3 linked regions of the Lonchura striata genome follow. The main gene of each other region encodes a partner of the protein of the gene in region 2 in a complex. Links are inferred from orthologs where the notes say so. Each region holds a gene or a part of one and is shown on either strand. Other genes may lie near its edges.

What was found. The genes of interacting proteins can lie anywhere in the genome.
Region 1: POLR3F (region 2) and POLR3D share a complex: the UniProt entries of both Homo sapiens proteins name them as parts of the RNA polymerase III complex. The link is inferred for Lonchura striata from reciprocal best matches to the Homo sapiens genes POLR3F and POLR3D.
Region 3: POLR3F (region 2) and POLR3K share a complex: the UniProt entries of both Homo sapiens proteins name them as parts of the RNA polymerase III complex. The link is inferred for Lonchura striata from reciprocal best matches to the Homo sapiens genes POLR3F and POLR3K.

Annotation. Positions count from the first base shown.
Region 1 is NC_134634.1:3,550,333-3,557,815, reverse strand, and holds the start of POLR3D (DNA-directed RNA polymerase III subunit RPC4), read left to right. Parts: upstream 1-4,483; 5' UTR 4,484-4,493; intron 4,494-6,929; 5' UTR 6,930-6,930; coding exon 6,931-7,089; intron 7,090-7,208; coding exon 7,209-7,252; intron 7,253-7,483. Other genes in the region: PHYHIP (phytanoyl-CoA hydroxylase-interacting protein), read right to left, coding at 386-560, 2,219-2,383. UniProt on the Homo sapiens protein: DNA-dependent RNA polymerase catalyzes the transcription of DNA into RNA using the four ribonucleoside triphosphates as substrates.
Region 2 is NC_134605.1:22,422,005-22,429,820, reverse strand, and holds the start of POLR3F (DNA-directed RNA polymerase III subunit RPC6), read left to right. Parts: upstream 1-4,711; 5' UTR 4,712-4,733; coding exon 4,734-4,789; intron 4,790-5,192; coding exon 5,193-5,310; intron 5,311-5,616; coding exon 5,617-5,684; intron 5,685-5,828; coding exon 5,829-5,896; intron 5,897-6,165; coding exon 6,166-6,278; intron 6,279-6,816; coding exon 6,817-6,960; intron 6,961-7,816. Other genes in the region: DZANK1 (double zinc ribbon and ankyrin repeat-containing protein 1), read right to left, coding at 479-588, 1,350-1,446, 1,741-1,858, 2,781-2,934, 3,566-3,674. UniProt on the Homo sapiens protein: DNA-dependent RNA polymerase catalyzes the transcription of DNA into RNA using the four ribonucleoside triphosphates as substrates.
Region 3 is NC_134618.1:4,521,895-4,527,205, forward strand, and holds POLR3K (DNA-directed RNA polymerase III subunit RPC10), read left to right. Parts: upstream 1-4,229; 5' UTR 4,230-4,252; coding exon 4,253-4,363; intron 4,364-4,456; coding exon 4,457-4,544; intron 4,545-4,623; coding exon 4,624-4,751; 3' UTR 4,752-4,811; downstream 4,812-5,311. Other genes in the region: RHBDF1 (inactive rhomboid protein 1), read left to right, coding at 634-1,053; SNRNP25 (U11/U12 small nuclear ribonucleoprotein 25 kDa protein), read right to left, coding at 2,542-2,596, 3,598-3,672, 3,757-3,862, 3,932-4,022, 4,092-4,217. UniProt on the Homo sapiens protein: Core component of RNA polymerase III (Pol III) which synthesizes small non-coding RNAs using the four ribonucleoside triphosphates as substrates. Can mediate Pol I proofreading of the nascent RNA transcript.

The DNA.
Region 1 (7,483 bases), on a different chromosome or scaffold from region 2:
GCACCATCCCCGTCCTCCCTCTCAGCTCCAGGCGTTGCCCTCTTCCCTCTTCTCTCTTCCATCTCCCAGCCCATCAACCCCATCCTCCCTCCTGACTCCCAGCTCTGGGCTTTTCCCCTGTCCTCCTCATCCTCCCGGCTCCCAGCATCACCTCCATCCTCCTCCCAGCTCCCGGGACCGTCCCCATCCCCCGGCCCAGTTCCCGACTCCAGGAGCATCAATCCCGTCCTCCCTCCCGGCTTCCAGCATCGCCCCCATCCTCCTCCTGGGATCGCCCCCATTCTCCTCCTGGGATCGCCCCCATCCTCCTCCTGGGATCGCCCCCATCCTCCCTCCGGGCTCCCGGGGACGCCCCCAGAGTCGCTCCCGGCTCGGTCCCGCTCACCCCCGGTGCAGAACTCCACGGTCTCGCTCCAGCCGGACACCAGGTACTCGCCGTCGCTCTGCTTGACCGCCGTCTGCACGGCCACGCTGTACTCGGTGCGGGGGCTCAGGAACCAGTGGCCCCGCACCGTCATGGGCAGCGGCACCGCCTTGGCCACCAGCTTGGTGGGGACATCCTGTTCCGAGCGGCGACGGTCAGGCGGGACAGCAGCCCACCGCCCGCACCGCCACCCCGCTCCGCGGGGACGCTGCCGGGTACCGCACCCCCAAAACATCCACAGAGACCCCCCAAAAATATCTACGGAGACCCCCCAAAATATCCACGGATATCCCCCTAAATATCCACGGAGTCCCTCCCAAAATATCCACGGAGTCCCCCCAAATATCCACGGATATCTCCCCAAAAAATCCATGGATACCCCCCCCAAAATATCGACGGATTCCCCCCCAGATATCCACGGAGACCGCCCCAAAATATCCACGGAGACCCCCTCAAAATATCCATGGATATCCCCCCAAAATATCCACGGAGACCCTCCCAAAATATCCACGGAGTCACTCCAAAATATCCACGGAGACCCCCCAAAAACACCGTGGTGAGCTCCCTTCTGCGATGGGGACACGGGGTCCCCGAGCTGGGGGTGGTCTCGGGGTGCAGGTGGGGGTGGTCTCGGGGTGCAGGTGGGGGTGGTCTCGGGGTGCGGGTGGGGGTGGTCTCGGGGTGCGGGTGGGGGTGGTCTCGGGGTGCAGGTGGGGGTGGTCTCGGGGTGCGGGTGGGGGTGGTCTCGGGGTGTCCCCACTCCCTGCTGCAATGGGGACACAGGGTCCCCGAGGTGGGGGTGGTCTCGGGGAGGGGGTGGGGGTGGTCTCGGGGAGGGGGTGGGGGTGGTCTTGGGGTGCCCCTGATCCCGGTGGCGATGGGGACACGGGGTCCCCGAGGTGGGGGTGGTCTCGGGGAGGGGGTGGGGGTGGTCTTGGGGTGCCCCCGCTCCCTGCCGTGATGGGGACAGGGGGTCCCCGAGGTGGGGGTGGTCTCGGGGTGCCCCTGATCCCGGTGGCGATGGGGACAGGGGGTCCCCGAGGTGGGGGTGGTCTCGGGGAGCGGGTGGGGGTGGTCTCGGGGTGCCCCCGCTCCCTGCCGTGATGGGGACAGGGGGTCCCCGAGGTGGGGGTGGTCTCGGGGAGGGGGTGGGGGTGGTCTTGGGGTGCCCCCGCTCCCGGTGGCGATGGGGACACGGGGTCCCCGAGGTGGGGGTGGTCTCGGGGAGGGGGTGGGGGTGGTCTCGGGGTGCCCCCGCTCCCTGCCGTGATGGGGACAGGGGGTCCCCGAGGTGGGGGTGGTCTCGGGGAGCGGGTGGGGGTGGTCTCGGGGTGCCCCCGCTCCCGGTGGCATCTCGCGGTGTCAATAGGCCACGGAGCAGCTCCGCAGTGCAGAGCCGTTTCTGTGGCAACGGCGGATGCTGAAGTCGGGAGATAGAGGGGAAAAAAATATCCCACCCCCCCACCCCCCCACCCCTTATTATTGGGGAGGAGAGGAAAAAAAAAAAAAACAATGTTAAACATTAAATAGCATCACCGTGGCAACGGCGCTGCTAAAAACGGCCCGAATTAGTGACTCGCAGCACGGGGAGGGGGAGCAGGAGCGGCTCCGCTCCTCCGCGGGGGCTCCGCGCGGTCCGTCACCCCCCGATCCCCATCCCAGCCTCCTCCGCCGGCGTGTCCCGTGAGGGGAATGACCCAAATTCGGCACTAGAGAGGGCTGAGAGCCAGTTCCTCCCTCCCAACCGCGTCTCCTCTCCCCGGGCAGGGGGTCCCGCGTCCTCGCCCGGCTCACCCGGTGCTTGAACTTGTTGGAATTCTTGTTCTCCTTCTTGTTGAGGTCGATGAAGTAGTGGGTGACCCTCTCCAGGTCCCCCTTCTCCATAGCCCAGGAGATGCGGAAGGAATCGCAGGTGATGTTGTTGATCTCGATGTTTTTGGGGGTGGACAGCAGCTCCATGGCCGGAGGGGCTGAGCTCCTGCGGGCACAGCGCGGGGGTCTGGCGGGTGCCGAGCCCCCTCTCGCTGCCCACGCCGCCTCTGCCAAGGCCGCCCGCGGCGGAGCAGATGGCAGCGGGCTGGAAAAGCGGCCGGGAGCCAGGAATAGGCAGCGCAGGCAGGAGCAGGCGGCGGGACGCCGGCAACAAGCCCGGTCGGGTGCGGGGGCCCCGGCCGCTCCCCCGGGTGCCGCGGGGCCCCGGCGCGACGCCAGCGGGCGTTTCGGGGTTTGCTCAACACCGGGTGGGGAAAGAAAAACAAGGGGAGAGCCGAGGGAGTTGCTGCGAGAGGGGAGGGTTGGACGCAGGCACTGGAAAAGCTGGATCCGCCTTTGCCCCGGCCCGTGCCTCAGTTTCCCTGCACCCACCAGGAAGGCGCTTTTTGGGGGCGGGGGAGGTGGGGGGGGTGGGCGATGCTCGTGGAGGGGGGACACGGAGTCACATTCGCGGCACGGGGACGGGAGGCTGGAAGCGAAGCGTGACCCGACCCCCCCAAATCTTCAGCCCGGGTTTGTGCGGGGGCAGCGGTGGCACCGCGGGGCTGCCAAGGTGCCACCACCCCCCCACCCACCCCCTCCGTGTGCCCACGGCCACCCACGCCGGGCTCAGCCGTGCGTGTCCCCGTCACTCGGCACCCACGGCCACCCACGGCCACGTGTCCCCCCCATCTGCGCAGCCCCCTGCACCCCAAAACCGCTGTCACCCCCCCACGCCAAAGCCCTTGGGCACGGCAGAAGGTCACCGCTCTGGGGACACGGTGCCACCTCGCTGCCCCGCTCCCGTGGCCGGCGGTGGCGCAGGAATTCTGCACCGGGATCGTGCCAGCTGGACCGTGTCACCGTGTCCCCGGTGCCTCGTGTCCCCTGCCAGCCCTCAGCGCCCCCCGTGTCCCCCCCTGCCCTCCGAGCATCCCTCGGCGGTGCCAGCGGGATGTCGCCCCGCTGCCAGCGGGGTTCGGCGGCCGCTCCGGTGGCAGCGGTGCCGGTGAGGGCCTTACCTGGCCGTGGCGGGGGGCTGCCGGGAGGAGCGGGGGTGCCGGTGGAGCGGCAGGGCAGGACAGAGAGCCCCGGCGGGGCTGATCCAAGCGGGAAGGACGGAGGATGCCGGAGGGATCGAGGTGGTACCCGGCGGTGCCGCGTCGCTGCCTGCGGCTGATGCGACTGGGATCCTCCCAGCCAGCTCGGAAATAGCAAACACCCTCCAGAGGAGGGAGAGGAGAGGGAAAAAAAAAAATTAAATAAAAAAATGGGGGAAAAATAGATATCCAAGGAGCTGGGAGAGAAGGGGGAGGAAGGAAAAACCTCCCGGTTCTGCCAATGGCATGGAGGGATGCGTGCGGCGTCAGGTGATGGAGGCAGAGTGGGATGTGGGTGCAGATTGGGGGTGGGTGGTGGGCAGGTTCTGCCTGTTCCCCCCCCCCATTTTTGGGGTCGGGGGGGGAGGGGTTGTCCCGGTTGTGCCGCTTGCGGGACAATGGGGACACCCCCTCCCGGCCCCAAAAATGGGATGGATGAGGAGCGTGGGAATGCTGGTACCCACACAGGACCCCCGCGAGAATGGGGTGCAGAGCCCACGGGGGGCGGACGGACGGACAGACTTTTTGTTTTGCACGTAGTAAACACCCTTCTTGCAGGGGAAAAGCTTTTTTTCGGGTGGGAGGGTGGGAGAACACCCCAAAATCCTCATTGCCCCCCAAATTTCTGCGAGGGGGTGCTCACGCATGAACCCCCTCTGTGGGGGTGCCGGCTGTGGGGCTGCAGAGGACCCTGAGGGGGTGGTCGCACTGCAGGAATCCCGTGAGGGTGTTAAATGAAAGGCTGAGTGACCCCCCAAAAATGTCCCCCCACAGCGCTGCCCCCGCTGCCCATTTGGAGAGCAGGGCGCTGCCCGTCACAAAGATGGCGCCGCCGCCTTCACACCGGCTCGGGCATTGCCAACCACAAAGATGGCAGCTCGTTGCCAAACCCGCCGTGCCCTCAGCAAAGATGGCGGCGGCAGCGTCGCCTCAGGAAGAGCGCGGCGTGAGTGACGCATGCGCAGTGGGGGCGGCGAGCCCGTGGCTGCCCGGGCAGGGTGAGGGGCGGCGTGGCGGGGCCGGGGGAGGATTTTGGGGGGTCCCGGGGGTCCTGAGGGGTGCGAGGAGGGGCAGCGAGCACGGAGGGGTCCCCCTGGGGGGCGGGGGGAGGGTGGGTCCGCTTTGGGGGTGCGCGAGGGGGTGGGAATGGCGGGGAGAGGGGGACGCGGAGGGGGCAGGGGGCGCAGGGGGGTGAGGCCCGTGAGGGGCGGGGGGCGCTGCCAGGGGGTTTTGGGGTTTTGGGGGGCCGGGGGTGGCTCATGGGGGTCCGAACCCCCGGGGAGGGGCGTGAGGGGGTGCTGGGGGGAACGGGGGGGCTGGGAGCCCCGGGGAGGGGGGAACAGGGGTCCTGTTTGGGGTGTATAGGGGACAAGGGGTCCTGTTTGGGGTGTAAGGGGTGCAAAGGGTCCTGTTTGGGTCCTGTTTGGGGTGTGTGGGGGATAAGGGGTTCTGTTCGGGGTGTAAGGGGTGCAAGGGGTCCTGTTTGGGGTCTATAGGGGACAGGGGGTCCTGTTTGGGTCCTGTTTGGGGTGTGATGGGGACAAGGGGTCCTGTTTGGGGTGTGTGGGGGATAAGGGGTCCTGTTCGGTGTGTAAGGGGTGCAAGGGGTCCTGTTTGGGGTCTATAGGGGACAGGGGCTCCTGTTTGGGTCCTGTTTGGGGTGTGATGGGGACAAGGGGTCCTGTTTGGGGTCTATAGGGGACAGGGGCTCCTGTTTGGGTCCTGTTTGGGGTGTGAGGGGGACAAGGGGTCCTGTTTGGGTCCTTTTTGGGGTGTATGGGGGACAAGGGGTCCTGTTTGGGTCCTGTTTGGGGTGTGTGGGGTGCAAGGGGGTCCTGTTTGGGTCCTGTTTGGGGTGTGTGGGGGACAAGGGGTCCTGTTTGGGGTTTATGGGGGGCTGAGACCCCCAGGGAGGGGGACAAGGGGTCCTGTTTGTGGTGTATGGGGTGCAAGGGGTCCTGTTTGGGGTGTGTGGGGGACAAGAGGTCCTTTTTGGGGTATATGGGCGGCTGAGACCCCTGGGGAGGGGACAAGGGGTCCTGTTTGGGGTGTAAGAGGTGCAAGGGGTCCTGTTTGGGGTGTGGGGGGGGATAAGGGGTCCTGTTTGGGTCCTGTTTGGGGTGTATGGGGGATAAGGGGTGTGTGTGTGGTGTGTGGGGTGCTGAGACCCCTGGGGAGGGGGCTACACGTGGACCCTATTTGGGGGTGCAGGGGGGTCATTTGTGGGGTTTGCATAGGACTGAGCCCATTTCGGGGTTCATTATTGGGATTTGAGCAGAACTGAGCCCACTTTGGGGTTGGTTATTGGGATTTGTGTAGAACTGAGCCCTGTTTGGGGTCTGTTACTGGGGTTTATGTAGAACTGAGCCCACTTTGGGGTTGGTTATTGGGATTTGTGTAGAACTGAGCCCTGTTTGGGGTCTGTTACTGGGGTTTATGTAGAATTGAGCCCAGTTTGGGGTTCATTATTGAGGTTTGTATAGAACTGAGCCCAGTTTGGGGTTGGTTATTGGGGTTTGAGCAGAACTGAGCCCAATTTAGGATCCATTATTGGGGTTTGTGCAGAACGGAGCCCAGTTTGGGGTTCATTATTGGGATTTGAGCAGAACTGAGCCATATTTGGGGTTCATTATTGGGTTTTATGTAGGGCTGAGCCCAGTTTGGGTTCCGTTCCTGGAATCTGAGCAGAACCAAGCCCAGTTTGGGGTTCATTATTGAGATTTGTGTAGAACTGAGCCCAGTTTGAGGTCCATTATTGGGGTTTATGTGGGACTGAGCCCAGTTTGGGTTCCGTTCCTGGGATTTGAGCAGAACCGAGCCCAGTTTGGGGTCTGTCACAAACCGAGCCCAGTTTGGGGTCTGTTACAAACCGAGCCCATTTTGGGGTTCATTACTGGGATTTGAGCAGAACTGAGCCCACTTTGGGGTTGGTTATTGGGATTTGTGTAGAACTGAGCCCTGTTTGGGGTCTGTTACTGGGGTTTATGTAGGACTGAGCCCAATTTAGGATCCATTATTGGCATTTGGGTAGAACTGAGCCCAGTTTGGGGTCTGTTACTGGGATTTGAGCCAAACCGAGCCCATTTTGGGGTTGGTTATTGGGATTTGTGTAGAACTGAGCCCTGTTTGGGGTCTGTCACAAACCGAGCCCATTTCGGGGTCTGTTAAAAACCGAGCCCACTTTGGGGTCTGTCACAAACCAAGCCCATTTTGGGGTCTGTCACAAACCGAGCCCATTTCGGGGTCTGTCACAAACCGAGCCCACTTTGGGGTCTGTCACAAACCAAGCCCAGTTTGGGGTCTGTCACAAACCGAGCCCATTTCGGGGTCTGTCACAAACCGAGCCCATTTCGGGGTTCATTCCTGGGATTTGAGCAGAACCGAGCCCATTTCGGGGTGCAGCCCCCAGCCCTGAACCCTCGCCCTGCCCGCAGGATGGCCGAGGGTGGCTCTGGCAGCTCGGGCTCGCCGGGCAGCGCCCGCCCGGGGCTCCGGGGGGTGCTGGGCCGGCGCCCCAGCGCCGCCCCCCAACTCGGCCCCGGCCGCCTGCCCTCCATCCGCTCCCGCGACCTCACCCTGGGCGGCGTCAAAAAGGTGAGACCCCCCTTTTCCCCCCAAAATTGGGGTCACTCCCCATCCCCAGCCAGGGTTTGGGGTGGTGACAAAGCCCAGGGTGGATTTTGGGGTGATTTTTTTTTCCTCTCTGCCCACAGAAAACCTTTGCCCCCAACATCATCAGCAGGAAGATCAAGGAGGAGTGAGTGGACATCAGGGGGGTTAAAAAAGGGGGGATGGGGATGGTTTTGGGGGGCTGGAGCGTTTTTGGTGGGGGGGAGGTTGTGGGGAGTGGAACTGGTTGGGTTGGAGAAGGGAGGAGTGGAAGGGGATCCATGGAAATATCCCAAATATCCATGGAAATGGCTGAGATATCCCAAAAGTTCGTATAAATATATCAGAATTTCATATAAATATCCTGAATATCCATAGA
Region 2 (7,816 bases):
ATATAAAAATCATCTACAGATGTAATTTGAAATAAGTTGCACTGAAATGCACTACTTTGAGGAGTACTTATTATCCTTGATTCCCCCATTAGCTACATAGCTTCTTCTAATAAAAATAAATCAATGCCTTGCTATGTACTTCCACCACAACATTACTGAATATTGAGTTTTCAATATTAACTTGCCAACAAACAGCACTAAGTATTTGCTAACTGCAGATTCAGGAATGCATTAGGAAAGAATTAATAGGAATGCAGTCAGTGTTGATTTCCTTTGCCTGGTTTTGTCCATATTGACAACTGTGTCCTGCTTTGGGCATTCCCATTCTAGTGGATCACTACCAATGCATTTAAATCAGGACTGTAGAATCCAGGCAAAGTCATTACTAGCTGAGAGAGATCACCAATCTTCACCTCCTTTTTTTAGACCTCTGTCCTGATGACAGCCTTGCACAACTTTCGCCTAGCCCTCTGCTCACCTGCAATGACTCCACTGGTTGTGCTGAAGTGGATTTCTCTCTGTGCTTTGCAGCTCCCAAACCACTGGCAAGGAGCTGAGGTCCTTGAGGGGACCTGTGAGAAGGCCTGTCTGTTTCCAAGATTAAAATTACAATCCTGTTATTCCACTGTCACCCACTTCATGCAGTTAATAGATATCTAAACAGGAATGTTACATACTCTCACTAAGCATAATCAAAAACATATTTGGCATGCACATTTTGGGTTCAAATAAGCTGCATAGAATCACAGGAAATTAAACTAGGAGAACCCCCACACTTCTCTGACAGAGCTTACTTTTGTATTTTAATTTATTTACAGTTTTCTTCCTTCCTGCATGAAGGAAGAAAAATCCCAGCTCCTAAGAGTAAACTAATGAGTAAACATTAATACAGTTACCTGCTCTAAAACAGTCCCATTGCTGTTGCCAAGGAATAAGAGACTTTATCTACAGAGAAAATCTGGGTGAAGCTTTCATTTCTGCTCAGTGTATTTATTTTGGAATCTTGCTGCAAGCAAACATCAGTAAAGAAACTCTGTAAAGGATTTGCAATCCCATCAATTTAACAGCATCTTCTGGCACAAAGGGAAATACAGACAGGGCTTTGGTGTGTTGCTGAGAAATGATTGATGTTTTAATATGTTTTTAAGAAGTCATGTGAAATGTATGCAAAGTAAATTCTGTTCTCTATTTGCAGTGTTGAGCAATCAAAACTGGAATTTCCACAGGATGCTCTGTCTTCTGAGAGGATTTTAAAATTACCCACATTTTACAAGCAAAACAAGAGGGAAACTCTTTGCAACTTTCTGCTAGAATAGAAGACTATCTCAGTTTTATGAAGTGATACTTACCTTGAAGGTCTTGGGATGTTTCATCCCAGGCAGGCTTGATTTCCACATTCAGTCTATTCTTCTTAGGTTTTGTAGTAAATGTTCCACCTTCCTTATTCTAAAATGTAATTCCATTTGAATTACAAATACATTTTTTTGCTTTTGCTCTCATCCTCTCCTGCTATAGTTATTTGTTAAAATTTTAAAAGTACATGTTTAAGGTATTTATTTTCAATGCAAGCATGCGAAAAGCTTAATTTTAATATTACAGAAAGGACCAAAGCAGCAAAGATGGGCAAACAGAGAAAATTATATATGTGAATAAAACTGGCAGTCAAAGCTTAATCTCTAAGTAATATCATATATACAACATTTTACAATCACACAAGGGGTTACAATTTCCAAAACTTACCTGTGTGGCTATATCTTTTAGGAAATTCTTGTCATCATCTTCAACCGGGAAAAGGATGTTTGGTTGCTGGTACTCTACCACAAACACCTTTGTCACAATTGAACTCTCCCTGTAGTCCCTGAAAATCAATATTCCCACAGCTAAGAATCCAACACAGACCTGTATGCTGCAACATGAAAATCACTGATGGATGTGGCTTATTAGGTGGAACATCCCTTCCAAGCTTTTATTTATATCATTATAGTGAATCTATGAAAATGTCTTAATATAAACAGACTGCAAATAAGTGTTAGTCTAGGCAGTGATGGCAAGAAAATAAATATAAGCCTAGGTTTTGAGTGTTATATAATGTTGTTGTATTGCAGTGCAGCCACAAGCACAGGCTGACTGCAGGTGCTGCTAACAGGGAACAGCAGACACAAATCTCCAAGTGGAGTGGAAGTTCCTGCTCCCTTGGAAATAAAAGATAATGCAATACAGTACAGACAGAGAAATGATGTGTCCTTTCTCTGTCTCTAAGCATGAAGTTATTTCTGACAAAGTCAGTGGCAGTGCAGCAAAATCCAGTTTTCTTTTCGTGTATTGTATTTTTGCTTCAACCAACGTTGTATACTTAAGCTGTGAGGTTCGGCATTCTGTGATCCTTTGGGAGAAGCTAAACAAATTCCTGGGAAAACCAGCTTCTATAAATCCACTGAACCACTGGATGACCCCAGAAACACCAGCCTGGTTTCTCTGGTGTTTCTGATGGTCACACTCCAAAGGATGAGCTCTCAGTACATCACCTCCTCACCCACAGCCTCCAGGATCACTGGACACTCTGAGTCCAGGAGAAAACACCCAAGAGGTTATCCAATCACACAAACACTTGATGGATAAAAATTATCCTGAGAAAGCCAACTCAGTGCTATTCACGAGTTTGCAAACTGCCTGGGGAAAGGCTAATCTCTCACTTGCAGGGTATGGAACGCTTTAGACAACACAAGCTGTGACAGGGATGTCTGTCCCTTGCCAAAAATAAACCAAAACAGGATACTCACTTTGTAACTGCCAGGGCTTTAACTATTATTTTCCCCACTGGTAATATGATAGGACCCTTATACTCCAAAGTGTTATGTGGTCCATAGCCAGGTTTCCTAATGAGTTCTGGTTTGCTTCCATCTAAAGTGTAATAAATAGAGGCCTCAGGTGTATCTGAAAGAAACAGAAAAAGTAATTCCTCAGACTGTAGGCAACCTTGGAAAAACAAATTACTCACTACAGTGCTTGATTTTGCTCACATAAAGAAAATAAAGTAGTTCCATAAGAGACCAAATATTTGGGATCAAAACTGTTTCTTCCATGAAATATCAGTTATTCAACAAAAGCAATTTCATTATAAGCAATATTTCTGACAGAAAAGTATCTGTAAAACGATTTTGCACACAAACATTGCAGCAGCTTGTCCATTCCAACAACAGAAAGGGTATTTTCTGCCACAGCAAAAGGTGATAATTCAAAAACTGTAACGACAATGTTGGGAGTGAGCCTGGCACATGATTCTTTCAAGAACTGTTTTTGCCGTCAAAGCCAAATGCAACAGCTTAAAAGTTTGGCCTTGGAAGCAATTAAGACTGCTACACATATGTCAGTAATGTTGTTGCGATAAATAAAATTACATGCAAGTGTATCTGGTGCATCAAACCTGTTAGTTAACTTTTTAAGTTCCTTAATGAAATGCATGCTACAAAAATCATGACTAAATATGAAAAAAGTATAAATGCCAAATATTTCAAATGGACACATAAGTACAGGTTTGAGGTGGAGTTAAAGCTCTTGTGCATACCTGATTTTATTTCTATGAGAGTATTTGTGTCTATTTCCCGTTGAGCTTTCCCTGGAGGTGGGATTCGAAGTGGGATGATCTGAGGAGCTGAGACAGAGCCAGCTGTCATTTTTCTCAGCAGTGATCTTTAAAATAGAAAAGTAAAAAGGCAGACAATCATTTAACTAAAAAGAAGAATGCACTGAGAAACAGTCATTTAGCATGACTCCTGGTCTTCATTTGTTTCTCTTAAAAGAGAGAAAACTGGATTCTTTAAACCATCCTGTGACTGTGATTCTGTGTGTTTGAGCTAGAACAGCTCCAGCACCTCATGTCAGTGATACATGGAAGGAGTAAGGGACAGGAATCTCCACCCTCACCATGTCATATGTGAAACCAGCCTCGTCCCACTATGGCCACCTGAGTACAGCATGCCCTGGAAAGGACTAAAGAAAAACAGCTGTTTCTTAAGCTTATGCCAGATATCATGTGGATCCAGAATATATCCATGAAAACCTGATTTATCCTGATATACATAGTCATTATCATGGCATGTAATTCAAGAGTGAAAAATTGCATTTGGATACAATGACATTTTACAAAACAAAGATATGTACTCCAGATCTTGGGAATTGATACTCAGGGCCAGGAAACACGTCTGTGCTACAAGGATTTGGTTTTGTCACCACCTCCAGGGCTCCAGAAACAGCTCTGATGCTACTCATCAATGCAGGAGTGAGGGACACTCCCCACCCTCTTTGGGCAATCTGTTCCACCTTTACAGGGCGAGGGTGAACCTTTCCCGTGCAAGTGCGGCACTTCCCGTGTCCCAGATTCTCCCTGTCGCCTCCTGTCTCATTTTCGGGCACCCCGGAGCAGAGCCTGGTCCATCCCCTGACACACACCACCAAGCACGGGCGATCAGCTCTCCCCGACCCGAGCGGGCGTTCAGCCTTCCCCTCACGCCCTTGGCACACCCAGGCTCCGCTCCAGCCTTTTGGGATCGCATCCCTGGCGGGACGCACCGCCACCCCGCCCGCTCCCCGCCGCTCCAGGGCGCGGCCTCACAGCTCTGCCCGCTCCACCGCCGGCGTGCGGCCCTGCTCGCCCGCCGCTCCGTTTCCAGGGACGCCGCCGCCGCCGTGGCGCGGCGCTGACGTCATCTCGGCGCGCCGGAGCCCGCGGTGCCATGGCGGAGGTGAAGGTGAAGCCGGAGGTGCCCGATCCCATGGACATCGAGAGCAGGTGCTGGTGGCTGTGTGAAGGCCGCAGAGGACGGGTTTTGGGGCTGGGGGAAGCAGGCGTGGCGGGGCGTTGTCGTTCAGGACCTTTGTGGGGTGGTTCGACGCTCGAGTGTTAACCAGGAAATGGATGCTGGAGGAGAGGGTTGTTAGGGGCACGGGGAGCTTCGTGCTGGGAGGTGCTTAGGGGGCAGTGAGGGTTGGGTCAGGTCACTTTCGGCTGTCCCGGAGTTTTTCTGGTCTTGGAAAGGGAAACGGTGCACAGGGATTGGTGCCGAGCTCCCTCAAGAAGTAATTGATGGATACTTTTCCCCGGAGTTGCTCTTGTCACCCTCTTCCATCCTGACTCCAGTACGGTTTGGATGCAGCAGAACATGGCTTTTAAAGTCGCTTCTCTCCTCCTGCAGGATCATTGAACTCTGCCACCAGTTCCCCCATGGCATCACGGACCAGGTGATCCAGAATGACATGCCTCACATGGAAGCCCAGCAGAGAGCTGTGGCCATCAACAGGCTGCTCTCCATGGTAGGGACAGCCCGCCTTCCTCATCTTCCTCAGCACACACATAACCACAGGCCCATTAGGGATGGGGAGGGTCAGGAACTGTTTGTTATTTCTGATAGCTGATGATAAGTGGAAATTTGTCAGGGGAAAAAAATATCCTCAAGGCTGTTACTGTTTCCAGTGGTTAGAAACATTAGTTTTTATTTTTCTTTATTTAGTTGACATTAAACAATGGTTTTGCTCTAGAATTTCAGAATATTTTTCTAAAATACCCTCTGAAACAAGCTGTTTGAAGGAAAGTAAATGCATTGTGCCCATCTCTCCTAGGGGCAGCTGGACCTTCTGAGGAGCAGTGCAGGTCTCCTGTACAGAATCAAAGATTCCCAAAATGCAAGGTAAGTCTGTGTCTGCTGGGTAAGTATGTTTGGAACACAATTCCTGTTTAAAACAAATGAAACTTCAATTATTGTTTTAAACAAATCAAACTTCTTTCAAATTTTGGACCTTTCAAAAATCCTGGTGTCTGTCTTGTTTTACAGTAAGATGAAAGGTTCTGACAATCAAGAGAAGCTGGTTTACCAAATCATAGAGGACGCAGGCAACAAAGGTACTTTAAATTATGATTGTGAATGGTACTAACTTTGTTTGCTTATGGGACCATTTCTGTCCAAAGTCACAAATGCTTGCTCAGACAATACAAATATAAAATCTAATGCCCCATACCTGCTTGTTTCCTAATCTCTTCCATTTCTTCCCTTTTGCTGGGAGTGGCAGACAAGCAACCCAAGCAGTGTTCTGATGTGACTTTTGGTTGGTATATGTGGAAACAAATGGTTTCTTCTATTTATTTTTGTTCACTTCTCTGTTTTTTAACAGGTATTTGGAGCAGGGACATTAGGTACAAAAGCAATCTGCCTTTAACAGAGATCAACAAGATACTGAAAAACTTGGAAAGCAAGAAACTAATTAAAGCAGTTAAATCTGTGGCAGTGAGTATTTTGTGACTCTCTTTGTAACAATTTCAAACATCTGCTTCATGTTTTGTATGCTTGTAACAGGGGCCTGGGGACAGAGAAACCTCATTTTACCTCCAGCTTTCTCTTTGGCTGTGCACCAGTGTTTGACTCTGTACCTTTAGTGTGCAGGTTTGAGGTGCAGCAGATACTGGCTCCACAGGTCAGCTTCTCTGCTGTCTTCACTTACGTGGTTCTCACTGGGTCTGGTAAAGCAGGTGTGGGTGGAGAAGTTGGACATAGCAAAGCAGTGGCTTTTTTGTGTTCATGTGAAAATGCTGGGTTCATCTAGTCTTCCAACACTATGTTTTAAAATGATTAGGAATCAAAATGAGTTGATCTTCTCTTTATCTCTGTGTTACCTGAGGGACAAACAGGTTCAGGATACCTGGAGTCAGGTGGCTTGCTGTGCCTTAGGTATAAGAGTAATAAACCTCTTTTGCAGATTATCTGGATACAAGTCCTTCCTTATGAAGGAAGGAATTGTTGAGAGCTGCACATCTCCCTCCCACAGGCATCCAAGAAGAAGGTCTATATGCTGTATAACCTGCAGCCCGATCGCTCCGTCACTGGGGGGGCCTGGTACAGTGACCAGGACTTCGAGTCTGAGTTTGTGGAGGTGTTAAACCAACAGTGTTTTAAGTTTCTGCAGAGTAAGGTACGTGCCAAAGTCACCCGCCATTTGTTTTGTAAACAGGTGCCAAGCAAGGCTTAGGTTTTCCATAAGGGTTGGCCATTATTGCAGCTAGATTGGCAAATCTCTGCTGGACTATTATTTTTGTCACAGTAGGTGGAATAGTGTTGTATTTAATGATGGGTACTTTTCCACCCTGGGCAAGGAGGGAAGCCTTTTATCCCTGAGGTCCAATGACAGCCTATCCTAGATAACCCAAAATTGTGTACTCCTTATCTTCTGTGTGCCAGCCTGCCCAAGAGTATTACTGTCCCTAAGACAAACAACCCAGGAAAGAGGAACTTGTGTGTTTTATCCTGGAAGGGAGGTGCAGGATCCCTTTAGAAACGGGAAATCATGGGGGGAGTGCGTTTGTTCTTCCTGGGTGCCCGAGGGGATTGCCTGGGGCGGAGCTCCAAGTCGATACCCGAGAAGCTGCTCCAGAGGGAATTTTGCAATACCTTTTCCAGCCGAGGAGGAGTCAGGTCGTCTCTCCACGATTTTCCAGCACCTGTCGTTTGTTTGTCCAGGAGGGGGCAGATCTGCAACTTGCCGGAAGTTTTTTCCAGCTTTTTTGGCAGCATAGGAGCCTTTTGGCCAAAAATTGTTTTAAATAAAATTATCCAAGTTTGGTTTTGTCCCTCTCCCCCCCCCAATTGTTGTTCATGGAAGTTCAGGAACTGCAGAGGCCGTTAGCTTTTATTTAGTATTTTTTCCCCTTTCTATCTTCTCTCATTTTGTCTCTTATTGGTGGAAGAAGATTGGTTAAAACTAAAGGGGAGATAACTCATTTTGGAGTCTCCACCCCGTATAATTGTCTTAAACTAGGACACAAACCAGG
Region 3 (5,311 bases), on a different chromosome or scaffold from region 2:
GCCTCTGTGGCTGAGGCAGAGCGAGCAGAGCTGGGCTCACCACTGCAGCCTTGGCACTGCAGCTCAAGGATGGCAGCACACCATCATTCAGCTGCTGAGCAGCAACATCCCGGGGTACCAGGGGCTTTGCAAGTGGCTGGCCTGGCTGGCTGCAGGAAGAAGGCTGCTTCTCATAACAGATGGGGGACTGTCCAGCCACGGGGTGAGAGGGGCCCCAGGCAGGCTCGGAATCAAGTGTGGTGTCAGCAGCCTCCGCCTGAGAGTGGCAAAGAGCAGACCTCACCCTGCCCACAGGAGACTGCATGGCTGGACCTGCAGGAGCCTTCCAGCTCCTAAGGAAAACTACAGGGTGGGTGGGGCAAGCCAGGAGATTGCCTTCAAGGGCTACTCCCCTCTGGCAGCTTGAACCAGATCTGCCCTCCTTAGTCTGTTCTGGCCTCACACCTTGATCCTAAATCCACACCTTGATCCCTTTACTCCCAGCACCCCATTATATGGATGAAGTTGGAGAGTCTCTTTGCCAAGAACCACTGAACAGGATTTGAGTAAGAAGCAACTAATTCCTGGAGCTGGCTGCAGAGGCCAGGAACGTGGCATGAGCCTGACATTATCTGTAATGCTCTTCTTCTGCAGGTTGGCCCTGCAGGATCCCAATTTGGAATTCTGGCCTGTCTCTTTGTGGAGCTCTTCCAGAGTTGGCAAATCCTGGCACGCCCATGGAGGGCTTTCTTCAAGCTGCTGGCTGTGGTGCTCTTTCTTTTTGCCTTTGGCCTCCTGCCTTGGATCGATAATTTCGCTCACATTTCAGGATTTATCAGTGGTTTCTTCCTCTCCTTTGCCTTCCTGCCCTACATTAGCTTTGGGAAGTTTGATTTATATAGGAAACGATGCCAAATTATAGTTTTCCAGCTCATCTTCATCGCACTCTTCTCAGGACTGGTGATTCTGTTCTATTTCTACCCCATCAAGTGCGAGTGGTGCGAGTTCCTCACTTGTATACCCTTCACAGACAAATTCTGCGAGAAATACGACCTGGATGCACAGCTCCACTGACAGCAAAGACTGGCTTCTCGAGCAGGCCCTGGAGATGGACTGTCTTTGCATTTGCTGTGCCAGTTCCATGGGGACAAAGCCTCTAATCCAATGACACTTCTAACCCTGCCCGTGGTTAATTTAAACTGTCTCCTTAGCACTTGGCAGGCATGGTTTGCCTTATCTCAGAAGACTCTGAAAAACAGAACATTTGTGCCTTGTTCAATTGTATTGAACCTTTTCTGCTGCCATTATTTTTATTACACTAGTTTCAATACTACATTTTTAACCAGAGTTGTTTACTACTGCTGAGGTGGTGATTAAACAGTGAGGTAGCGTTTTAGCTACTGTGAATTGTTCTGAGTAGTCTGTGCCTACCTTTGTTACTTAATCTCACTCCTGCTGTTTTATGTACCCTGTGGAGCACCCAAACCAGCCAGATACACATCTGCAGCTGGAAATAAGGGCCTGAAAAACCTCAGAAAACTAGAGGATCTCTTTAATCCCTGCAACCCACATACAGCTCAGAGGCAAACACCACAAAGAGCAACTGTAAAAAACGTGAGAATGTCCAGTCAATGGAGTTTGTTCCTCTTTGAAGTGTGACAGCCTTTTCCTCCAGGAAGGTGCTTAATCCACAGTCTGGTCTTGGTAGGGCTGGATTCTCTGCTCTCTCTGTTTAAGAAAGAAAATATTTGTCAGTGACAATAATTATTGCATGCTGATCTTTTCTCACCACGCTGCCATGATGGCCCAGGAGAGACCAGCCAGTGCCAGAGGTGACTGCTGGTCACAAGCACCCTGGAGCAGGTGGCTGTTGTTAGGGCGCACATTTTATTACACTGGATCTTGAAAATATGGCAGTGTTGAAAGAAGAATAAAAGGTAACTGCGGTCAAAAAGGAACAGTTTTTAACCCAGCTGCCTGGAGCAGCAAAACAACACAAGGCTTTGGACAAGCTGCTCTTACTCGTTCTTCAGCCACTGTGACTGTTTCTAAAAGCGTAATTTAAAACTTAGTAAGCCTGAGAGTCTTGGCCACATCTTGTGTTTGTGTGCACAGCTTTCTCAAAATAGCAGTATTAATACCAGAATTATGTCTGCATGAGTTAGAAACCCAGCCATGCTCCTGACAATGATTTCCAGACATTTAAAAAGCCTAAAAGAAAGCAAGGTCCTAGAAGCAATCACAGCAGCAAAAGAACACTGTGTTTAATGAGTCTCAAGACAATGTAGAAGCAGATTGAGAATCTAAACATAAAGTCAGCTATTCCTGCTGCTGCTCCCAGTTTATGTTACCTGAAATAGCTGAATTATCATTCCCTGCCCTGAGAATAGCACAAACAACATTACCAGGATCTGGAAACAGGCACCAGCCCAGTGCAGGCATTCAGAAATACTCTGCCAGCCAGCAGAGAGCAGCAGCATCAGCTCTGAGCCTCAACACCATGGCCTGGGGAAGATGAGGAACTGGGAGCTCTTAATGGACGTCTGGGACTCACCCCACAGGTTACTTCCGAAGCTTCTTTATGAAGCTGACCTCATCCCGGTTCCTGATGCCATACCTGAACACAGAGTTATGCTGTTAATGCCAGCTTCCCAGGAAAAACAACCTGTAAAACCCTATAGCTTCATCTTTCCCAGGGACATAGGGACTCCTACAATCCCATGTTGTGCTCTACTAGAGGACACATTAAAATTCTCACTTGTGTATGTGGGATGTGCTGCCAGCACTGAAGGATCTGCTCATCTGCCTTTAAGTGCAACGACCCCTTAAATGCAACATCTGTCACCCAGGCTCACTCTTCCAAGGACAGCTTTGATTAGGGCTGTCTTGCTGAATTTTTAGTACTTCAGACCACCTTTTCTCGCTGGTCTGCAACAGGCTGGCAGACCCAGCACTGCAGGGAAGTGCCTTATTCTACCTCGCCTCAAGAATGGGCAGGGAAACATGGGAATCACCTGTCAGCGTTGTTACCAGAGTGTCTGAGAGGTGGCTGAGCAGCCCCAAAGATCAACACCCATCCTTGGGTTTCCTCTTTGCTTGGCATTCATCATAGAATCACAGAATGTTACAGGGTTGGAGTGGACCTTACAGAGCATCCAGTGTCAACATCCCTGCCATGGACAGGACACCTCTCACTAGGCCAGGTTCCTCAAAGCCTTATCTAACCTGGCCTTGACCACTGCCAAGGCTGGGGCATCCACAGCCTCCCTGTTCCTGTTCCCTGCTCTTTCCTGTCCTACATCAATATCTGTGCCGAGCTGAGTAACTGTAACCATCTGCAGGAGCTTGGGAGGGATGGCCAAGGGTTCTGTGGGGTGCCCTGCACTGGCTGAACCAGCACAGGATGGTGCTGGCTGAGGATGAGGAACCCCCCAGGGCCAGCCTGTCCTGCAGAGAGCCTCTCAGTCTTCCTGTCCCGCTTCTGTGGTCAGTGCTGTCCCACCTTTCCTGGCAATGTCCACTACAGGACCCGTGATCCAGGGCACAACCTCCCAGCTCAGCCCTGCCCGTGGGGACGCTGCGTGGGCCCCTCACCCCCAGCGCTGACTCGTAACTCACTCTCTCAGCTTCTTCCTGTCATCCGCCAGCTTCTCTCCATTGTACGTGAGGTGGTACGTCCTCCAGATGTACCTCCTGCGGGAAAAGCGCTCAGGGGCAGCCGCGGGAGCGGCGCCGGGCTGGGGCGCGCTCCCGAGCCGCCCGCCCGGCCCCGCTCACCAGCTGAGGTGCTGGACACCGCCCTGCCGGGCCTGCCTCAGCTGGATGTGCCGCCGCAGCGCCTTCTTCAGCTCCAGCACCGAGGCGTTCTGCACCACCACCACGGCTGCGGGCGGGAGAGCCGCGTCAGGCGCGCCCCGCCGGCCCCGCCCGCCCCGCCCGGCCCCGCACGCACGCACGGTCTCGCCGTCCGCCTTGCACACCCGCACCGTCATGGCCTGCCCGTACTCCAGGGCCACCTGCGAGCCGATCTCCTCCGCCGTCACCTGCGGGCGAGGGACGCGGCCGTGAGCCCAGCCCAGCCGCGCCGGCCCGGCCCCGCGCCCCGGGCGCACCTGCGGGGGGAGGTCGCAGAGCAGCGGGTCCTGCACCAGCCGCGCCAGCGCCGCCTGGAACAGCTCCAGCACCTCGGCGTGCGCCAGCTCCTCCGCCGGCTCCTCCGCCGGCCCCGCGGCCGCCATCGCCGGAAGGGGCGGGCGGCGCGGCGGAACCCGCGATGCTGCTCTTCTGCCCGGCCTGCGGGAACGTGCTGGTGGCCGAGGAGGGGCCGCGCTGCCACCGCTTCGCCTGCACCACCTGTCCCTACGTGCGCAACGTGACGCGGAAGGTACCGCGGCGGGGCGGCGCGGGGCGGGGGCCGCCGTGCTCGGGGCGCGGGGCGCGGGGCCCGGGCTGAGCCGCTCCCGTGCCCGTCCCGCAGGTGACCAGCAGGAAGTACCCGCGGCTGAAGGAGGTGGACGATGTGCTGGGCGGCGCCGCGGCCTGGGAGAACGTGGACTCCACGGCAGGTAGGGCCGGGCCGAGGGGCGGCGCGGGGCTGGCTGGGCCCCGCCGCCCCTCACGGCCCCTCACGGCGCTTTCCCGCAGAGCCGTGCCCCAAGTGCGAGCACCCCCGCGCCTACTTCATGCAGATCCAGACGCGCTCGGCCGACGAGCCCATGACCACCTTCTACAAGTGCTGCAACCCGCAGTGCGGGCACCGCTGGCGGGACTGAGGGCCGGGGGAGCGGGTTTAGAATCGCTGCTGCTCCCGCAATAAACAGCGCTGCGGGCGAGCGAGCGGCTGCTGCGTGGTTGCTTTGGGCCGGACAGGGAGGGCGAACAGGCTCCAGCACGGTGCTGTGCCCCCAACGCACACGGGGCAGGGTGATACGGTCACACCGAGAAACCCGTGTTTGAACAGACAGGTGTGAAGGTAGCCGAGCTGAAGCACGGTGAGGAAACCCCCCACGCCTCAGCCCCGAGCACAGCACAGCAGGTAAAGCAGAGGGGAAGTGTAACCACTGTGCCCTTACAGAGAACCAAAAATAAAAAAAAGGGGCTTGGCTGTGACCTGTGAAAATCCTGTCAGTTAAAGCAGGAACTACAAACTACACACTGCAACCAGTTACTGATAAAAGGAGAATGTGCTTCAAGTAGGATCACATATTACTTGTGTTTTAACATCAAGCTTTATTCTCAGTTTTCAGAAGTAAAAACGATAAATAACTTAATAAAAACATGATGGAGCACAAATTGTAACATTTAATCTCCATGGACACTCCCTCCAACAGGC